2 linked regions of the Macaca mulatta genome follow. The protein of the gene in region 1 binds, or shares a complex with, the protein of each later gene. Links are inferred from orthologs where the notes say so. Each region holds a gene or a part of one and is shown in the gene's direction. Other genes may lie near its edges. The genes, in order: MED12 and MED24.

Region 1 (8,666 bases):
GGGCCCAATCTGGGGAGAAACAATAGGAACCTTGAGAAAAGGAGAGGGGGAGTTAAGTAGAGAGGAAGACAGACAAGGATATAGTGGAGGGGAGAGGTAGCGAGAGAAACACGGCTCCAGCATGGGCTGAGGAGTAAGTCCAATAGGGTCTAGACTCCAGTGTAAGAGTATTAGGTGAGGGCATAGCTATCGGGAATGAATCTAGCTTATCAATGGGAAGCATAGCATCTGGGAGGCCTAGGCGTGGGCCTTGTATATTTGGCATTTTGGCCATGGCTCAGAACTGAATAGTAATGGCTACTACTTGCTGAGCATGTGTTTTGTGCCAGGTACTGTGCTAGGTACTCTGCACACATTTCCTCATTTAATCTTTATGACCCTATGAAGTAGATGAGCCTCCCTGTTTGACCGATGAGGAAACTGAGGCTTGAAGAGGTTAAGTAACTTGTCTAAGGTCACATAGCTGATAAGTTTAGAGTCAATATGTGAACCCAGACATGTCTGTGCACTTTCCACTTCACATTGCCTCACACCTTCAGATGACCAGAGAGTGGAAAAATGAAGCCATTGAGGAAAAGCTAAAGGAATAAGGTCTCTTCAGCCCAGGAGAGACAGTGTCGAAGAGAGATTAGCTAACAGTAGCCTTCTGGTCTCTATAGGACTTTGAGAGATTGTCTTATAAAGGTCCTGTCAGGGACTTTGAGCAGTTGGTCTAAAACGAGAGAAGCAGGCTTCGACTTTAACATCAAGGATTTCAAGGTTAAGCATTAAGCAGAACTTCCTGATACGAAGGGATGGGAAAGATGTGAAATCTTTCCTGAACTGTTTTAAAAATTGGAAAGATTTTCAACTAGTTTGGACTATTTAAATGTAGTCTTTTTTTTTTTTTTTTTTTTTGAGACGGAGTCTTGCTCTTGTCACCCAGGCTGGAGTGCAGTGGCGCGATCTCAGCTCACTGCAACCTCTGCCTCCCAAGTTCAAGCGATTGTCCTGCCTCAGCCTCCTGAGTAACTGGGATTACAGGCGCCCACCACCACGCCCGGCTAATTTTTGTATTTTTAGTAGAGATGGGGTTTTGCCATGTTGGCCAGGCTGATCTCGAACTCCTAACCTCAGGTGATCCGCCTGCCTCAGCCTCCCTAAATGTAGTCTTTCTTAAAGATGGGGACATAGAGGTCCCTTTCAGACCTCCAGGAGTCTGTGATTCAATGTTGCAGGAGAACAGGAATTGGCCTCAGATTGGTGGGTAGCTGGGGGTAACACGATGATTACTAGCCTGGGTGTGGGGCCTCTATCACAGAACTTGGACCAGTGGACCATGCGCCAGTCTTCCCTGGAGCTGCAGCTCATGATCAAGCAGACCCCTAACAATGTGAGTAGTGCCTGGACCCTCCCTTTCCTGTGTTCACGTTCAGCTCCATGTGTCAGGGAGGCGGTCCACCACAGAAGAACCTAGATCCTACCCTTGGGCTCTTGAGCTGAGAGATAAGAGGGGATGGGAAAATGGTGAACAAGTGGAGCTGATGATAAGGGAAATGGGTTGAGAGTGTTGGAGCTCTGAGCTGTGGGGAAGCTTGGTGGTGGTGGTGGTGGAGCCTGTTTATCTGGCCATAGATGTAAGGAGGTATGTAAAGGAGAAGACAATGAGGAATTGGAGAAATACGGAGGTACTAGAGGACATGAGTCCCAACAGAGTTGGGTTCCTGTCTCCCCATCAACCTCCGCCAGTGCTGTCCTTCTCCCTCATCTCCCATCTCTCCTACCATCTGCTTTCCTTCACCCTTAGCTACCTATTTTAGCACTTCTGTGCCTTTCATCCTCCCCAGGAGATGAACTCCCTCTTGGAGAACATTGCCAAGGCCACAATCGAGGTTTTCCAACAGTCAGCAGAGACAGGGTCATCTTCTGGAAGTACTGCAAGCAACATGCCCAGCAGCAGCAAGACCAAGCCTGTGCTCAGGTCGGATAGAAACATGTTAGGACCCATCCCCTTAGGAATTTCTCTGCTGGTAGCATGAGTGATGTCAGATGCGTGGAGATACCAGCATGTCCATCAGGGAAAGGAGAGGATGGATTGTTCCAGCCTTGCCTGGCTCCCCTGTGACCCTGTGTCCTCTGTTCTCCAGCTCTCTAGAGCGCTCTGGTGTATGGCTGGTGGCCCCCCTTATTGCTAAACTGCCCACCTCAGTCCAGGGACATGTGTTAAAGGCTGCTGGGGAGGAATTGGAGAAGGGTCAGCACCTGGGTTCCTCTTCACGCAAAGAACGTGATCGACAAAAGCAGAAGAGGTAAAGGGGCTTAGGGAGTGGACCAAGATTGAGAGGTAGAAAGGAGAAAAGGCAGGCCTGGGGAAGAATAAAATTGGGGCTAAGGAGAAGCATCATAGGAAAGTGGAAAATCAGAGGATAAGAGTGGGCATGGCTGAGCAAGAGGCTAGGTCTTAGGAGAGTAGAGTCTGGAGAATGAGGTTGGAAGTTGATTCCCAACCCACAGTCTCCCTTTTCTCCTCTTCTCTCCTCTCCTCTTCTTCTCTTCTCTTCTCTTCTCTTCTCTTCTCTTCTCTTCTCTTCTCTTCTCTCTCTTGTCTCTAGCATGTCCCTGTTGAGCCAGCAGCCCTTCTTATCACTGGTACTAACATGTCTGAAAGGGCAGGATGAACAACGCGAGGGACTCCTTACCTCCCTCTACAGCCAGGTGCACCAGGTACGGATCTCTGGGCCATGGAGGTGGGCAGGAGGGCAGGGAAGGATGCACCTAAGGGGTTACTCTGTACTTGGAAACTTCAGTACTTTCTGATAAACATATTGGCTGTTGTGAGATGGAAACACGAAGATCCCTGAACTGCATATTTTATTTGTTTCTATTCTAGATTGTGAATAATTGGCGAGATGACCAGTACTTAGATGATTGCAAACCAAAGCAGCTTATGCATGAGGCACTCAAACTGCGGCTCAACCTGGTGAGAAGGCCAGCTAGGGAAAGAAGGAAGAGGGTAGGGCTAGAAATGCAGAGCGCAAAAGCCTCAGGTTGGGGAGAATGGGGGTAAGGATAGAAGCCCCAGGTTATTCTGAGTCTTGAAGTTTTTTTTGTTTTGTTTTGTTTTGTTTTGTTTTTGGAGTCGGAGTCTCGCTCTGTCACCCAAGCTGGAGTGCAGTGGCACCATCTCAGCTCACTGCAACCTCCACCTCCCGGGTTCAAGTGATTCTCAAGTCTCAACTTCCTGAGTAGCTGGGACTACAGGTGTGCGCCACCACACCTGGCTAATTTTTGTATTTTTCATAGAGATGGGGTTTCACCATGCTGGCCAGGCTGGTCTTGAACTCTTGACTTCAAATGATCCGTCCATCTCAGCCTCCCAAAGTGCTGAGATTATAGGCATGAGCCACCGTGCCCGGCCTGAGTCTTGAAGTATTAACCGTGTTCTCTGAAAGAATGCAGGGACTGAAAGTGGTTAAGGGGGCTGTATCACTGTGGTCATGGTCCAATAGATTATGTACCCTGGATCCTTGCAGGGACTCTGCCTCAGTATCCTAGATTCTGACTGGGCCCTAGAAGCACTGGAAACCCATTGTAGAATGTTGAATGGAATCCTGGAAATCATTCAGTCCAACTCCCATCACTTTCTAAGTATGGAAACAGAGGCCCAGAGATGTCAAGAATTCCCTCATTGTCTCGAGATCATATAGTAAATCATAGGTTCAACTCAAGCATGAACTCAGGCGTCCCAACTCAGATTTGAACTAAGCTTTCCTTAAACTCTGGCCTTGTCCCTGAGCCATCTGACTGACTTGTTGTGGCCCTGGCAGGTTGGGGGCATGTTTGACACGGTGCAGCGCAGCACCCAGCAGACCACGGAGTGGGCCATGCTCCTCCTGGAGATCATCATCAGCGGCACTGTCGACATGCAGTCCAACAAGTAAAGCATCCCCACCTGCTCCCTGCAGTTTCATACCCAAGAGGCTCCCCTTACTCCCACGTCAGGTGCACCCACTGAGATTGGTATGGCTGTTACTGTGGACTCCATGGCCCTGGGCTCCCCATATGGTTTTGGTGCCCTCGGGATGACATATTAAGCACCTCTCCCTGTTTGTGTCCTCTGCTGAGGCCTTTTTCTATCTTCACCTCTTTCTTCTCTGGTTTTCTCTCTGGCTTCCTGTCTCAGTGAGCTCTTCACTACTGTGTTGGACATGCTGAGCGTGCTCATCAATGGGACATTGGCTGCAGACATGTCTAGCATCTCCCAAGGTAGCATGGAGGAAAACAAGCGTGCATACATGAACCTGGCAAAGAAGCTACAGGTGAGCAGAGGAGGCAGGGACAAGGATTGCGGGAACCGGAATCTGCTGTCCAGCCTCAGGAACTTGCTTCTGGCTTGAGCCCTCTGCCTTTCCTTCTCATGTCTATCTTTTCTTTGTTACTCATGCCATGAGCATTTACTGAGTGGGGGTCTTCTCTGTGCCAAGTTCTGTGCTGTCCCCTGAGACTTCCCATCCCTGTTTTCTGTATCTCTGAACTCTTGTCCCATCTTCCTGTGCCTGCAGAAGGAGTTGGGGGAACGCCAGTCAGACAGTCTGGAAAAGGTTCGCCAGCTGCTGCCACTGCCCAAGCAGACCCGAGATGTCATCACGTGTGAGCCACAGGGCTCCCTTATTGATACCAAGGGCAACAAGATTGCTGGCTTCGATTCCATCTTCAAGAAGGAGGCATGTTCCATTGTCTGCCCATGTCCCTTGCCTTTTTTCCCCTTTGGGCAAGAACTTTCCCTGCATCAGCTTTGTAGCTCCAACAGACTCATCAGATTCAGGAGCCCATCCAGTCTCTGCCAGTGAACACCATCTCGGGGGTTTTCAGCAAATCACTTAACTTTCCTTACATTTCATCTCCATCTCTGGAGTCCCACCCTCTTTCCTTCACCCTGCCCTCACCTTTTAACATACCACCCATTTCTCAATACCCTAACCTCCTCTTTCCTCTGCTCCACCTGCCTCATGTCCTACCCCACCCATCTATCTGGCCGACAGCCTGTATCTCTTTTATTTCTGTGTTTCTCTCCCTACACCCACCCATCTCGGCACAGTTTTATCTTTTCCCTCTCTGTCAGTTGCGTATTTGTTGAGTAACCATAATTATTGTGTATAGTTTAAAACCCAAAGTCTAACTCCTTCATATATACATTCTCTTCATCTGTCTTCCTAGTCCATCTGTCTCTTTTCCTCTGTCTCTGTCTCTCTCCGTGTCTGACTCGTTTGCCTTTCTTTGTCTCTCCACCTTTTTGTCTCTCTTCCTGTTTCTCTCTCCCTCTCTGACTCTGTCTTTCTCTGCCTGCCTAAAGGCAGAATCTCTCCCTGCCTTCCTCTCTCTCTTTCTCTGCCTTCCTTTTTCTGTCTGCCTCTGAATGTCAATCCCTCTCCCTCCCCACTTCCTCTCTGGCTTTCTCCCCAACCCCTTTCTCTCCCGGTCTCGGCTTCTCTCCCCACACGCCCGCCGCCCGCCCCGTTCATTCGTCTCCTCTCCTGGTCCTGGCTGGCTTCATCTTGCGTCTCCATACCTCTCCCTGTCCCCCACCCTTCACTCTCTCCCCGCATAACTCTTCTGCATGTATGTGTGTATCCGTGTCTGTCTGTTTCTTACCATCTCTCTTGAATCTACCTATGACTTTCTACCCACTCCTACAAGTGCTTGCGGTCTCTCTTGTGTTTTCTAAGTCCCAACAGCTTATTGTTTTTCATTTTCTGGAGCAGGGTCTACAGGTTTCCACCAAACAGAAGATCTCGCCCTGGGATCTTTTTGAGGGGTTGAAGCCGTCAGCACCGCTGTCTTGGGGCTGGTTTGGAACAGTGCGGGTGGACCGGCGAGTGGCTCGAGGAGAGGAGCAGCAGCGGTTGCTGCTCTACCACACACACCTGAGGCCCCGGCCCCGCGCCTATTACCTGGAGCCGCTGCCACTGCCCCCAGAAGATGAGGAGCCCCCTGCTCCTACCCTGCTAGAGCCTGAGAAAAAGGCTCCAGAGCCCCCCAAAACTGACAAACCGGGGGCTGCTCCACCCAGTACTGAGGAACGCAAGAAGAAGTCCACCAAGGGCAAGAAACGCAGCCAGCCAGCTGCCAAGACAGAGGTGAGCGTCTCCCCCGTGACAGTTCTCCCACAGCCTCTTACTTCATGACGCTCCAGTTTCTGGTTTGTGGGAGGGGTGGGGGCGCATAAGGAAGGGGTGCCATTAGAATCATAATAAAAATTAACCATGTACAAATCCAGCTCCTCTTTACCTCATTCTCCCCCAGCTCCCCGACCCCACTCAGCTACAACCCACTCACCCTCTTCTTCTGTCACTCACACAGGACTATGGAATGGGCCCGGGTCGGAGCGGCCCTTATGGTGTGACAGTGCCTCCAGACCTCCTGCACCACCCAAACCCTGGTTCCATAACCCACCTTAATTACAGGCAAGGCTCCATAGGCCTGTACACCCAGAACCAGCCACTACCTGCAGGTGAGTGCCAGCCACTAGGAATGCTGGAGGGACCTAGGTGTATACTCCCCCTGCCCAAAGGGTGATGCCGTTCCCCTGAGGAGCTATGGATGTCAAGGACACTGAGCAAGAGACAGAGGGATGAGGAACCTAGAGGTCAGCCCACTCTCCTTTCCAGGTGGCCCTCGTGTGGACCCGTACCGCCCTGTGCGCTTACCAATGCAGAAGCTGCCCACCCGACCGACTTACCCTGGAGTGCTGCCCACAACCATGACTGGCGTCATGGGCCTAGAACCCTCCTCTTATAAGACCTCTGTGTACCGGCAGCAGCAACCTGCGGTGCCCCAAGGACAGCGCCTTCGCCAACAGCTCCAGGCAAAGATAGTGAGAGGGGCAGTAGGGAGGGCTGTCAGGGAGAGGGGCTTTTGAGGGTCACAGGACTGAGGAGACACGGGATCTTCACAAGGACACTCAGAGCAGGAGACACAAGAGATGAGATGGCAGCAAGCATTTCCTGAGTTTGAGTTGTTCTCTTCTCTCCCTTTAGCAGAGTCAGGGCATGTTGGGACAGTCATCTGTCCATCAGATGACTCCCAGCTCTTCCTACGGTTTGCAGACTTCCCAGGTAAGAGCCTGGGATTGTGAGACTCGGGGGATGAGGCAAGCTGCTTTGCATACTCTCAGCCCTGATTCCCTCTCTCCTCCTTCCCTCCAGGGCTATACTCCTTATGTTTCTCATGTGGGATTGCAGCAACACACAGGCCCTGCAGGTACCATGGTGCCCCCCAGCTACTCCAGCCAGCCTTACCAGAGCACCCACCCTTCTACCAATCCTACTCTTGTAGATCCTACCCGCCACCTGCAACAGCGGCCCAGTGGCTATGTGCACCAGCAGGCCCCCACCTATGGACATGGACTGACCTCCACTCAAAGGTACCCAAAGTAGTGGTGAGCTAGGAAGAGATGCAGAGGTATAAGGGAGCATTTGACTTGGGAAAGCCCGTGCCTGAAGGTGATGGGACTGGTCAGAACTTTTGGAGACGTCAAGAATACTTATCTGGCCACATAGCCCATAACCACAGAAGTCTCGAGCTGGAAGGGACCCTGGAGACCAATAGTTTCATGTGTACTTCCTTAACAGTTCTTTGAGGCCCAGAGAGGGGAAATTGTTTATCTGACTCATGGAAAAATCTGGGCTGTGTGGTAGCTCACACTGGTAGTCCCAGCACTTGGGGGCCCAAGGTGGGAGAATCAGTTGAGTCCAGGAATTCGAGGCCAGCCTGGGCAACATAGGGAGATCCCATCTCTAAAAAAAAAAAAAAAACATATTTTTTTGAAACAGAGTCTCACTCCAGTTGCCCAGGCTGGAGTGTCGTGGCATGATCATGGCTCACTGCAGCCTCGACCTCCCAGGCTCAGGTGACCCTCCTACCTCGGCCTCCCAAGTAGCTGGAACTACAGGTACACACCACCACGCCCAGCTAATTTTTTGGATTTTTAGTTGAGATGGGGTTTCGCCATGTTGCCCAGGCTGGTCTTGAACTGAGCCACCACACCTGGCCAAAAAAAATTTTTTTTTAATTAGCTGGGCATGGTGGTGCATGCCTGTAGTCCCAGCTACTCAGGAGGCTGAGGTGGGAGGATTGTTTGAGCCTGGGAGTTTGAGGCTGCAGTGAGCTGTAATCGCACAATGAGCCAAGATTGATTGCGCCATTGCACTGCAGTGGTGACAGAGTGAGACACTGTCTCAAAAAAAAAAAAAAGAAAAAGAAAAAAAAAATATCTGGAGTTCATAGATGAACTACATGATAAGGAGTCCTAAAGCCAGTACCGGCTTTAAATACCAGGTTGAATACCAGGATGGATTAATGAATGAATCCTCCCACCATGGTTAATGTTAGTCAAGCCTTAGTTCAGGCCTTGTAACCATGTTTAGAGACTCCAAAGCTTGGGATTAAGAACACTGGGGAGTGGACTAACTGCCCATTGTGTGGCCAGCACTATACCAGGACTGGGTGAGGTGAAGAAAGATAGCAAAAAACCCCAAAATGCATAGTTCCTCACTACAAAGAATCTTTACTATAGCTGGGGAGATGAGACTTACAGAAGAACATTGAGAGAACACTCTGAGCAAAGATATAATCAGGTATGCAGTTGTATGCTATGAGGTAAAATGCGGATTGAGAAAAAGTATGGG
Region 2 (9,459 bases), on another chromosome or scaffold:
TGACACCCTCTGTGCCTTGTATGCTTACCAACGATTTCGGTGTTTCTGGGTTTTTGGGTCTGGACTCTTGCCACTTTTCTTTATACTGTTTTCTAGCCTAGATAGATAAGGAATGTTCCCTTCCCCTTGGGTACCCAGAACCCTGTTCCTCGCCACCTCTTACCCCACTCTGGCCTAGCTGCTTTTCTGACACTTCTCCAGGGTTGCCATGTCACTCTGACTGGTTGACTTCCACCTGCCCCTCTTCTCTCTTTAGCCAAGGTAGCCAACAAGATGAACAAAGAGGTTGGGGCTCGGGACTAGGAGGGCAGAGGTGGGAGCTCAGCCCCTGTCCCTGTTGAGAGGAAATGAACAGCAAAAGAAAGTGGGGTAAGTAGAACGGGGCTTTGAGATGGGCTGGGGGGGCTATTTTTTTTTTTTTTTAAGACAGAATTTCGCTCTTGTTGCCCAGGTTGGAGTGCAATGGTGCAATCTCGGCTTACAGCAACTTCTGCCTCCTGGGTTCAAGCAATTCTCCTACCTCCTGGGTTCAAGCAATTCTCCTACCTCCACCTCCCGAGCAGCTGGGATTACAGGCATGCGCCACCATGCCCGGCTAATTTTGTATTTTTAGTAGATACAGTTTCTCCATGTTGGTCAGGCTGGTCTTGAACTCCCAACCCCAGGTGATCTGCCTGCCTTGGCCTCCCTAAGTGCTGGGATTACAGGCGTGAGCTACTGCGCCTGGCTGGGGGGCTATTTATTCGTACACCCAAAGGAAATGTTAGCATCTCTCTTCACCCTTTGGAGGATTATCATGGAGTCCTGTGCTTGCAGTGAGCCAGAGAGCCCAAGGGGGTCCCTAGGAAGATATTGTGGTGTGGAAGGAAGAGGTGGTATAGGAAAGGTTGCCTCTGATGTTTACAGACTGGAGAGGCAGGGAGGTCAAAAGGGATAAATTAAAAATGGTCCTTGCCCAGAACTAAGGGAGCCCTTGTACATAGGAGTCCAGCCTTTGGGGAAACCTTGCCAAGCCTAGAGAAAGGGCTGCTGGTGGGAGGTGGGGAGACAGAGAAGGCAGATGGCCTGACTACAAAAGCCGCCTCCCTGTCACTGCGAAGTGGGGAGGAGGCACCTCCCTAGAAATCTGCCAGGCTCCCTGCCAGAGGGAATAGTTTGAGCTCAAAATATCACCATCCTCAGGGCCCAAATAGTTCCCAGTCCTGTGTGGACTGGACACACAGTTGACAGCTTCTCTCCAAGAGAAGCAGTTTGGGCTCTAAGGTATGTGACAGGGGCTCCAGGATGATCCAGGAATGGCTCCAGGTGGAGGGCCTTAGGATGCGGCAACAAGCACAGAATGACAGCAGGGGAGCAGGCAAAGGTAGAGTGAGGGGCTGGGAGAAGAGGGGAAGTCAGATACATGAGAAACTGAGGAGAAGCAGGGTTTGTGGCAGTCTCAAGTATGAGTGGAGTGGCCGGGGGCCATATGGAAGGTGAGGTGAGGAATCCATATTCTCCCTCCTTCCTGCTTTAGAAGCTTTGGCAACATATATTTGGCAGCTGTTTTGTATACACACTATTCCCCAGTGGTGTCCCTTGGGCAGGCACAAAGGGAGCCTAAGGGAGGGGTGTGGATTGAATGTATGGGGAGGAAGAAAAGCCATAGGCAGTACCAACCGCAGAGGGACATGATCTGACCCTCCTTCAGCCACACTCTCCCCTTTGGAACAGAAGTCCTTGACTCCCTGTCTAGACCGTGCTCCAGACACCCAGGGTGCTGTAATTCTCTGCCCAAATGGCCAGTTTTACTTCCAGAGCCTTAAATGGGCTGCTCTTCCAGATTTATCCCCCCAAGGACTGATTTTGCCACTCAAAGGGTGAGCAAAGAATGGTTGTCGAAGGCTGGGCACGGTGGCTCATGCCTATAATCCCAGCACTCTGGAAGGCTGAGGTGGGTGGATCACCTGAGGTCAGGATTTTGAGACCAGCCTGACCAACATGGTGAAACCCCATCTCTACTAAAAATACAAAAATTAGCCTGACGTGGTGGTACACGCCTGTAATTCCAGCTACTTGGGAGGCTGAGGCAGAAGAATCGCTTGAACCTGGGAGGCAGAGGTTGCGGTGAGCTGAGATTGCAGTGAGCTCAAAAAAAAAAAAAAAAAAAAAAGGAAAAAAAAAGAATCGTTTTTGGGGAATACGGATTGAGCTTGAACTTGTGAACTAGGATATTGGGCCCTGGCTAAAGGCCTCCATGTTTATTTATTTATTTTTTTGGTAGAGCTGAGAGTCTCATTATGTTGCCCAGGCTGGATTTGAACTCCTGAGCTCAAGTGATCCTCCTGCCTCAGCCTCTCGAGTAATTTACTCTTATTCCTGGTTGTAAATGTTAGGGATGACCAGTCCATAGTATGGGGAGGGATGAGGGCTATGCATAAGAAGGCTCAGACATTGGAGCCAGAGGTGGGTAACATTTGCTTTTGGCTTTCTCACTAGGGGAAGGAAAGGCTATGGCCAAGGCCCTGGGCATAATAATTGGATATTATTATTTATGGATCTTTGGGATAAGCAAGATTTAAACAACAACAACAACAACAACAAGAAACTTAAGAAAATAGTTTTTAATTTACAGGAAAAAAATGGAAGGTAATAGAGGGTCCCCACATATTCTGCACCCAATTTCTCTTTTAATTAACATCTTAGCATTAGTATGATGCATTTGTAACAACTAATGAACTAATACTGATACATTATTATTAATTAAAGTCCATGCTTTATTTAGATTTCCTTAGTTTTTACCCAGTATTCTTTTTCTCTTCCATGATTGCATTCAGAAAATCACATTACATTTAGTCATCAGGTTTCCTTAGCCCTCTTAGCTGTGACAGTTTCTCAGAATTCCTTTGATTTTGATCACCTTCACCTTAGTTTCTCCTTTACTTTCCCTTGTATCCAAGCTGTTTGGAGGGCTTGGAGATGCTGATAGGACTGTCAGATTCGGGGGTGGTGATATGTGTGCAAGTAAGGCACCTTAGTGTCGCTTTTAGAATATAGGTGTGGAAATGAGAATAGCTCTGGAAGCCCCAGGAGTTTAGGAGAAAAGAAAGAGCCCAGGAAAAGAGAAAGGCCGTATTGCTGAACGCCACACCCTTGCCGCACCTATTAACTAGGGGCTAACGAAAGAAAGGGTGTCGGAATATGATGGAGAAGGCCGGTCGACAGTGACGTCGTGGGCGACGCCGGGTTGTGAGCGACCTTTCGAGCTTCCTCGAGTCCCTGAGTCTCTGTAGTGTCTCAGCTCCTGGATGTCCTCCCTTAAAGGAGAGGAACAATGCGCGCCGACTAGACTAGTCTCTTAGTTTCTTCGCCAGCGCAGACAAATACGGTTTCAGTCCAAAAAACTACCATTCCCAGAAGACAGCGGGACGTTCCTTGCTGCATCTCTATTGGTTTGCGTTTGTTACTCCCAGCCAATAGAAAGTGAACTTCTTGACAAGTGCCAAAATGGCGATGCCTACGACCTAGAAGTGGATTGTGCGGTAGGCTTAAATTTGGGGAGGTGGTGGATGAAAAGGAAATTGGGAGGTATAGTTACAGGGCTGGAGAAGGTGGAGGAAATGAGGGAGCAAATCTGGACTTGGAGTAGTGGTGACCGAAGGACGCATTTAGAGCTAAGGGCGTAATTAGGCAACGAGGACTGGCTTAACTCCTTGATGCCCTCTTTACTCTATTAGTCCCTTTGATATTTATTTATTTGAGAGACAAAGTTTTGTCCTTGTTGCCCAGGCTGGAGTGCAATGGCGCGATCTCGGCCCACCCCATCAACCTCCGCCTCCCGGGTTCAAGCGATTCTCCTGCTTCAGCCTCCCGAGTAGCTGGGATTACAGGCATGCGCCACCAAGCCCGGCTAATTTCGTATTTTTAGTAGAGACGAGGTTTCTCCATGTTGGTCAGACTGATCTCAAACTCCCGACCTCAGGTGATCCGCCCGCCTTGGCCTCCCAAAGTGCTGGGATTACAGGTGCGAGCCACTGCGCTCGGCCTATACTTTCTTCTTAGTGCCCCAGTTTAAGGAAGGGCGGTTCAGGAGGAGAAAGCCTGACAGGATCTTACCTTATCTCTTTAGCTCTTTTTCTTTCAAATTCCGCTGCCTAGCTTAAATCTTACCGCATCTTCTTTTTTTTTGTTTGTTTGTTTTTTGTTTTGAGGCGGAGTCTCGCTCTGCCGCCCAGGCTGGGGTGCAGTGGCCGGATCTCAGCTCACTGCAAGCTCCACCTCCCGGGTTTACGCCATTCTCCTGCCTCAGCCTCCCGAGTAGCTGGGACTACAGGCGCCCGCCACCGCGCCCGGCTAAGTTTTGTATTTTTAGTAGAGACGGGGTTTCACCGTGTTAGTCAGGATGGTCTCGATCTCCTGATCTCGTGATCCGCCCATCTCGGCCTCCCAAAGTGCTGGGATTACAGGCTTGAGCCACCGCGCCCGGCCACCGCATCTTCTTTCTATTTAATTCTGCCTTCCCCGGTTCTCCTTCGAACATCGTGTCCTTTTCTTTTTTTTTTTTTTTTTTTTTTTTTTTTTTGAGACAGAGTCTCGCTCTGTCGCCCAGGCTGGAGTGCTGTGGCCGGATCTCAGCTCACTGCAAGCTCCGCCTCCCGGGTTCCCGCCATTTTCCTGCCTCAGCCTCCCGAGTAGCTGGGACTACAGGCGCCCGCCACCTCGCCCGGCTAGTTTTTTGTATTTTTTAGTAGAGACGGGGTTTCACCGTGTTAGCCAGGATGGTCTCGATCTCCTGACCTCGTGATCCGCCCGTCTCGGCCTCCCAAAGTGCTGGGATTACAGGCTTGAGCCACCACGCCCGGCCGTGTCCTTTTCTTTAGATCCACTTCTTTCACCTCAAAGTTGGCCGTCACAGCTGCCACCTGCTCAGAGTGAAATCATGAAGGTAGTCAACCTGAAGCAAGCCATTTTGCAAGCCTGGAAGGAACGTTGGAGTGACTACCAGTGGGCAATCAACATGAAGAAATTCTTTCCTAAAGGAGCCACCTGGGACATTCTCAACCTGGCAGGTCTCAAGTGAACTGGGAAAGAAAGATGGGAGGGATAAACCCAGAGAAGTTGTAATCACTCAATCGTGTTTTGTTATTCCTCTTGCAGATGCATTACTAGAGCAGGCCATGATTGGACCATCCCCCAATCCTCTCATCTTGTCCTACCTGAAGTATGCCATTAGTTCCCAGGTAAGCTCCCCCAAAACCCCCACCAAGAAGTGAGAGTTTTGGGGATAAAAAACTTGAAGTGCATTTGGACCCCAGTGATTCATGACTGTAATCCCAGCATTGTGGGAGGCTGAAGCAGGCAGATTGCTTGAGCCCAGGAGTTTGAGACCAGCCTGGGTAACATGGCAAAACCCAGTCTCTACCCCAAAATACAAAGAATTAGCCCTTCGTGGTGGTGCCCCTGTAGTCCCAGCTACTTGGAAGGCTGAGGTGGGAGGATCACCTAAGCCCTGGGAGGTCAAGGCTACAGTGAGCCATGATCCTGCCACTGCACTCCAGCCAGAGCAACAGAGTGAGACCCTGTCTCAGGAAACAAACAAAACAAAATTTGGGGTGCAGTTTTACAATTGTCAGCTTACGCTTTCTAGATGAATTTGTTTGAACAGATCATTTCACTGAGTTTCAGTGTTCTCATAAAAATAATAATACTTCATTTGTTGTGATGAATATTATATTCACTTATTCTACTGGGAGTAGTAGCAGGTAGCACAGGCCTGTGGCCCCGCCTACTCAGAAAGCGGAGGTGGGAGGATTGCTTGAGCCCAGAAGTTCGAGGCTACAGTGAGCACTGATTGTGCCACTGCACTCCAGCCTGGGCAACAGAACAAGACTCCATCTCTTAAAAACAACAACCACCAAAAGAGAAATAGGATTACATTCACTTGTTCTATCAACAAATACTCATGAATTTTTTTTTTTTTTTTTTTTTGAGACGGAGTCTTGCTCTGTCGCCCAGGCTGGAGTGTAGTGGCCGGATCTCAGCTCACTGCAAGCTCCGCCTCCCGGGTTCCCGCCATTCTCTTGCCTCAGCCTCCCGGGTAGCTGGGACTACAGGCGCCCGCCACCTCGCCCGGCTAGTTTTTTGTCTTTTTTGGTAGAGACGGGGTTTCACCATGTTAGCCAGGATGGTCTTGATCTCCTGACCTCGTGATCTGCCCATCTCGGCCTCCCAAAGTGCTGGGATTACAGGCTTGAGCCACTGCGCCCGGCCTTTTTTTTTTTTTTTTTTGAGATGGAGTCTCGCTCTGTCACCCGGACTGGAGTGCAGTGGTGCGATCTTGGCTCACTGCAAGCTCCGCCTCCTGGGTTCTCCTGCCTCAGACTCCCGAGTAGCTGGGACTACAGGCGCCTGCCACCACGCCCGGCTGATTTTTTGTATTTTTTTTTTTTTAGTAGAGACAGGGTTTCACCGTGTTAGCCAGGATGGTCTCGATCTCCTGACCTCATGATCTGCCCACCTCAGCCTTCCAAAGTGCTGGGATTACAGGTGTGAGCTACCGCGCCCGGCCTCATGAATGCTTTTATGTGCCAGACAGTGCTAGCCCCTGGGGACATAGCTGTGAATAAGATCTGATGCCAGTACACAGAGAATTTAGTGGGTAATATAGACATGTAAATAAGCAGTCACTAGATGGGTTTATGATAAAGGTTAGAATAGAGTACGGATGCTCCTCAACTTACAATGGGGTGATGTGCTGATATACCACTCATAAGTTGAAAATGTACTTAATACACATAACTTGCCAAAGGTCATCTACCTACCACTTTTTTGAGACAGAGTCTTGCTCTATCACCCAGGCTGGAGTGCAATGGTGTGACCTCAGCTCACTGCAACCTCTGTCTCCTGAGTTCAGGTGATTCTCCTGCCTCAGCCTCCCGAGTAGCTGGGACTGCAGGTACCTGCCACCATGCCTGGCTAATTTTTATATTTTTAGTAGAGACAGGGTTTCATTATATTGGCTAGGCTGGTCTCGAACTCCTGACCTTGTGATCTGCCCACCTTGGCCTCCCAAATTGCTGGGATTGCAGGTGTGAGCCACCATGCCCGGCCATCTACCTACCTTAAATGTGCTCAGAACACTCTAGCTTACAGTTGGGAAAAATCATCAAACACAAAGCCTGTTTGTTTATTGAGATGGAGTTTCACTCTTGTTGCCCAGGCTGCAGTGCAATGGCTTGATCTCGGCTCACTGCAACCTCCACCTCCCAGGTTCAAGCTATTCTCCTACCTCAGCCTCCTGAGTAGCTGGAATTACAGGTGCCCACCACTACACCTGGATAATTTTTGTATTTTTAGTAGAGATGGGGTTTTACTGTTTTGGCCAGCCTGGTCTCGAACTCTTGACTTCAGGTGATCCACCTGCCTTGACTTCCCAGTGTTGGGATTACAGGCATGAGCCACTGCGCCTGTCCTTATTTTTTATTGGTTGATTGATTAATTGATTGAGGCAGAGTCTTGCTCCATCGCCAGGCTAGAGTGCAGTGTGGTGCGATCTTGGCTTACTGCAACCTCCGCCTCCCAGATTCAAGTGATTCTCCTGCCTCAGCCTCCCAAGTAGCTGGGAATACAGGCGCATACCACTACGTTCCGCTAATTTTATACGTTTTTTTTTTTTTTTTGAGACGGAGTCTTGCTCTGTGCCCCAGGCTGGAGTGCAGTGGCGGGATCTCAGCTCACTGCAAGCTCCGCCCCGCCGGGTTCACGCCATTCTCCTGCCTCAGCCTCCCGAGTAGCTGGGACTACAGGCGCACGCCACCTCGCCCGGCTAATTTTTCTTGTATTTTTCATAGAGACGGGGTTTCACCGTGTTAGCCAGGATGGTCTCGATCTCCTGACCTCGTGATCCGCCCGCCTCGGCCTCCCAAAGTGCTGGGATTACAGGCTTGAGCCACCGCGCCCGGCCTAATTTTATACTTTTAGTAGAGACTGGGTTTCTCCATGTTGGTCAGGCTGGTCTCGAACTCCTGACCTCAGGTGATTCACCCTCCTTGGCCTCCCAAAGTGCTGAGATTATAGGCGTGAGCCACCACGCCCAGCCAGAAGTGCAGATTTCTTTCTTTTTTTTTTTTTTTGAGACGGAGTCTCGCTCTGTTGCCCAGGCTGGAGTGCAGTGGCCAGATCTCAGCTCACTGCAAGCTCCGCCTCCTGGGTTTACGCCATTCTCCTGCCTCAGCCTCCCGAGTAGCTGGGACCACAGGTGCCAGCCACCTCGCCCTGCTAGTTTGGTTTTTTTTTTTTTTTTTTTTTTTTTTTTGAGACGTAGTCTCGCTGTGTCTCCCAGGCTGGAGTGCAGTGGCGTGATCTCGGCTCACTGCAAGCTCCACCTCCCGGGTTCATGCCATTCTCCCGCCTCAGCCTCCCGAGTAGCTGAGACTACAGGCGCCCGCCACCACGCCCGGCTAGTTTTTTTTTTTGTATTTTTAGTAGAGACGGGGTTTCACCGTGTTAGCCAGGATAGTCTCGATCTCCTGACCTCGTGATCCACCCGCCTCGGCCTCCCAAAGTGCTGGGATTACAGGCTTGAGCCACCGCGCCTGGCCAGTTTTTTGTATTTTTTAGTAGAGATGGGGTTTCACTGTGTGAGCCAGGATGGTCTCGATCTCCTGACCTCATGATCCCCCCATCTCAGCCTCCCAAAGTGCTAGGATTACAGGCTTGAGCCACCGCGCCTGGCCCAAGAAGTGCAGATTTCTTATGTGCATATATTGCATCGTGGTGAAATCTGAGCTTTTAGTATACCTATCACCCCAATAGTGAATGTTGTACCCAATAAGTAATTTTTCAACCCTCACCCCACTCCCACCTTCTATATTCTCCAGTGTCTATTAGTTCACTCTGTATGTGCACCCATTGTGTAGCTCCCATTTATCAGTGAGAATATGTGGTATTTGACTTTCTTTTTTTTATTGAGATGGAGTCTCCCAGGCTGGAGTGCAATGGCGTGATCTCAGCTCACTGCAACCTCCTTGACTTTCTATCTCTGAGTTATTTCACTGAGGATAATGGCCTACATGTATGAGCACTTGAAGTACAATTTCTACTGAATGTGTGTCTCATATTTTTTTTTGAGACAAGGTCTTACTGTGTCACCCAGGGTGGAGTGCGGTGGCGTGATCTCTCCTCACTGCGACCTCCACCTCCTGGGCTCAAGTGATTCTGCTGCTTCGGTCTCCCAGGTAGCTGGGACCACAAGCATGCATCACCATACCCAGCTAATTTTTATAGGTTTAGTAGAGATGGGGTTTTACCATGTTGGCCAGGCTGGTCTCGAACTCCTGACCTCAGGTGATCCGCTCACCTTGGCCTCCAACAGTGTTGGGATTATAGGCATCAGCCTGTAATTTAGGTTGTGCCTGACCTAAATGCGTATCTCTCTCTCTTTTTTTTTTTTTTTTGAGATGGAGTTTCACTGTTGTCCCC

What was found.
Region 2: MED12 (region 1) and MED24 share a complex: the UniProt entries of both Homo sapiens proteins name them as parts of the mediator complex. The link is inferred for Macaca mulatta from reciprocal best matches to the Homo sapiens genes MED12 and MED24.

The regions. Positions count from the first base shown.
Region 1 is NC_133426.1:77,595,045-77,603,710, forward strand, and holds part of MED12 (mediator of RNA polymerase II transcription subunit 12), read left to right. Parts: intron 1-1,300; coding exon 1,301-1,372; intron 1,373-1,826; coding exon 1,827-1,960; intron 1,961-2,126; coding exon 2,127-2,288; intron 2,289-2,591; coding exon 2,592-2,703; intron 2,704-2,869; coding exon 2,870-2,959; intron 2,960-3,806; coding exon 3,807-3,916; intron 3,917-4,162; coding exon 4,163-4,298; intron 4,299-4,541; coding exon 4,542-4,703; intron 4,704-5,741; coding exon 5,742-6,116; intron 6,117-6,339; coding exon 6,340-6,490; intron 6,491-6,647; coding exon 6,648-6,853; intron 6,854-7,016; coding exon 7,017-7,094; intron 7,095-7,184; coding exon 7,185-7,402; intron 7,403-8,666. UniProt on the Homo sapiens protein: Component of the Mediator complex, a coactivator involved in the regulated transcription of nearly all RNA polymerase II-dependent genes.
Region 2 is NC_133421.1:64,407,378-64,416,836, reverse strand, and holds the start of MED24 (mediator of RNA polymerase II transcription subunit 24), read left to right. Parts: upstream 1-3,473; 5' UTR 3,474-3,521; intron 3,522-3,768; exon of another isoform or gene 3,769-3,961; intron 3,962-4,108; exon of another isoform or gene 4,109-4,859; 5' UTR 4,860-4,918; coding exon 4,919-5,048; intron 5,049-5,136; coding exon 5,137-5,219; intron 5,220-8,260; exon of another isoform or gene 8,261-9,448; intron 9,449-9,459. UniProt on the Homo sapiens protein: Component of the Mediator complex, a coactivator involved in the regulated transcription of nearly all RNA polymerase II-dependent genes.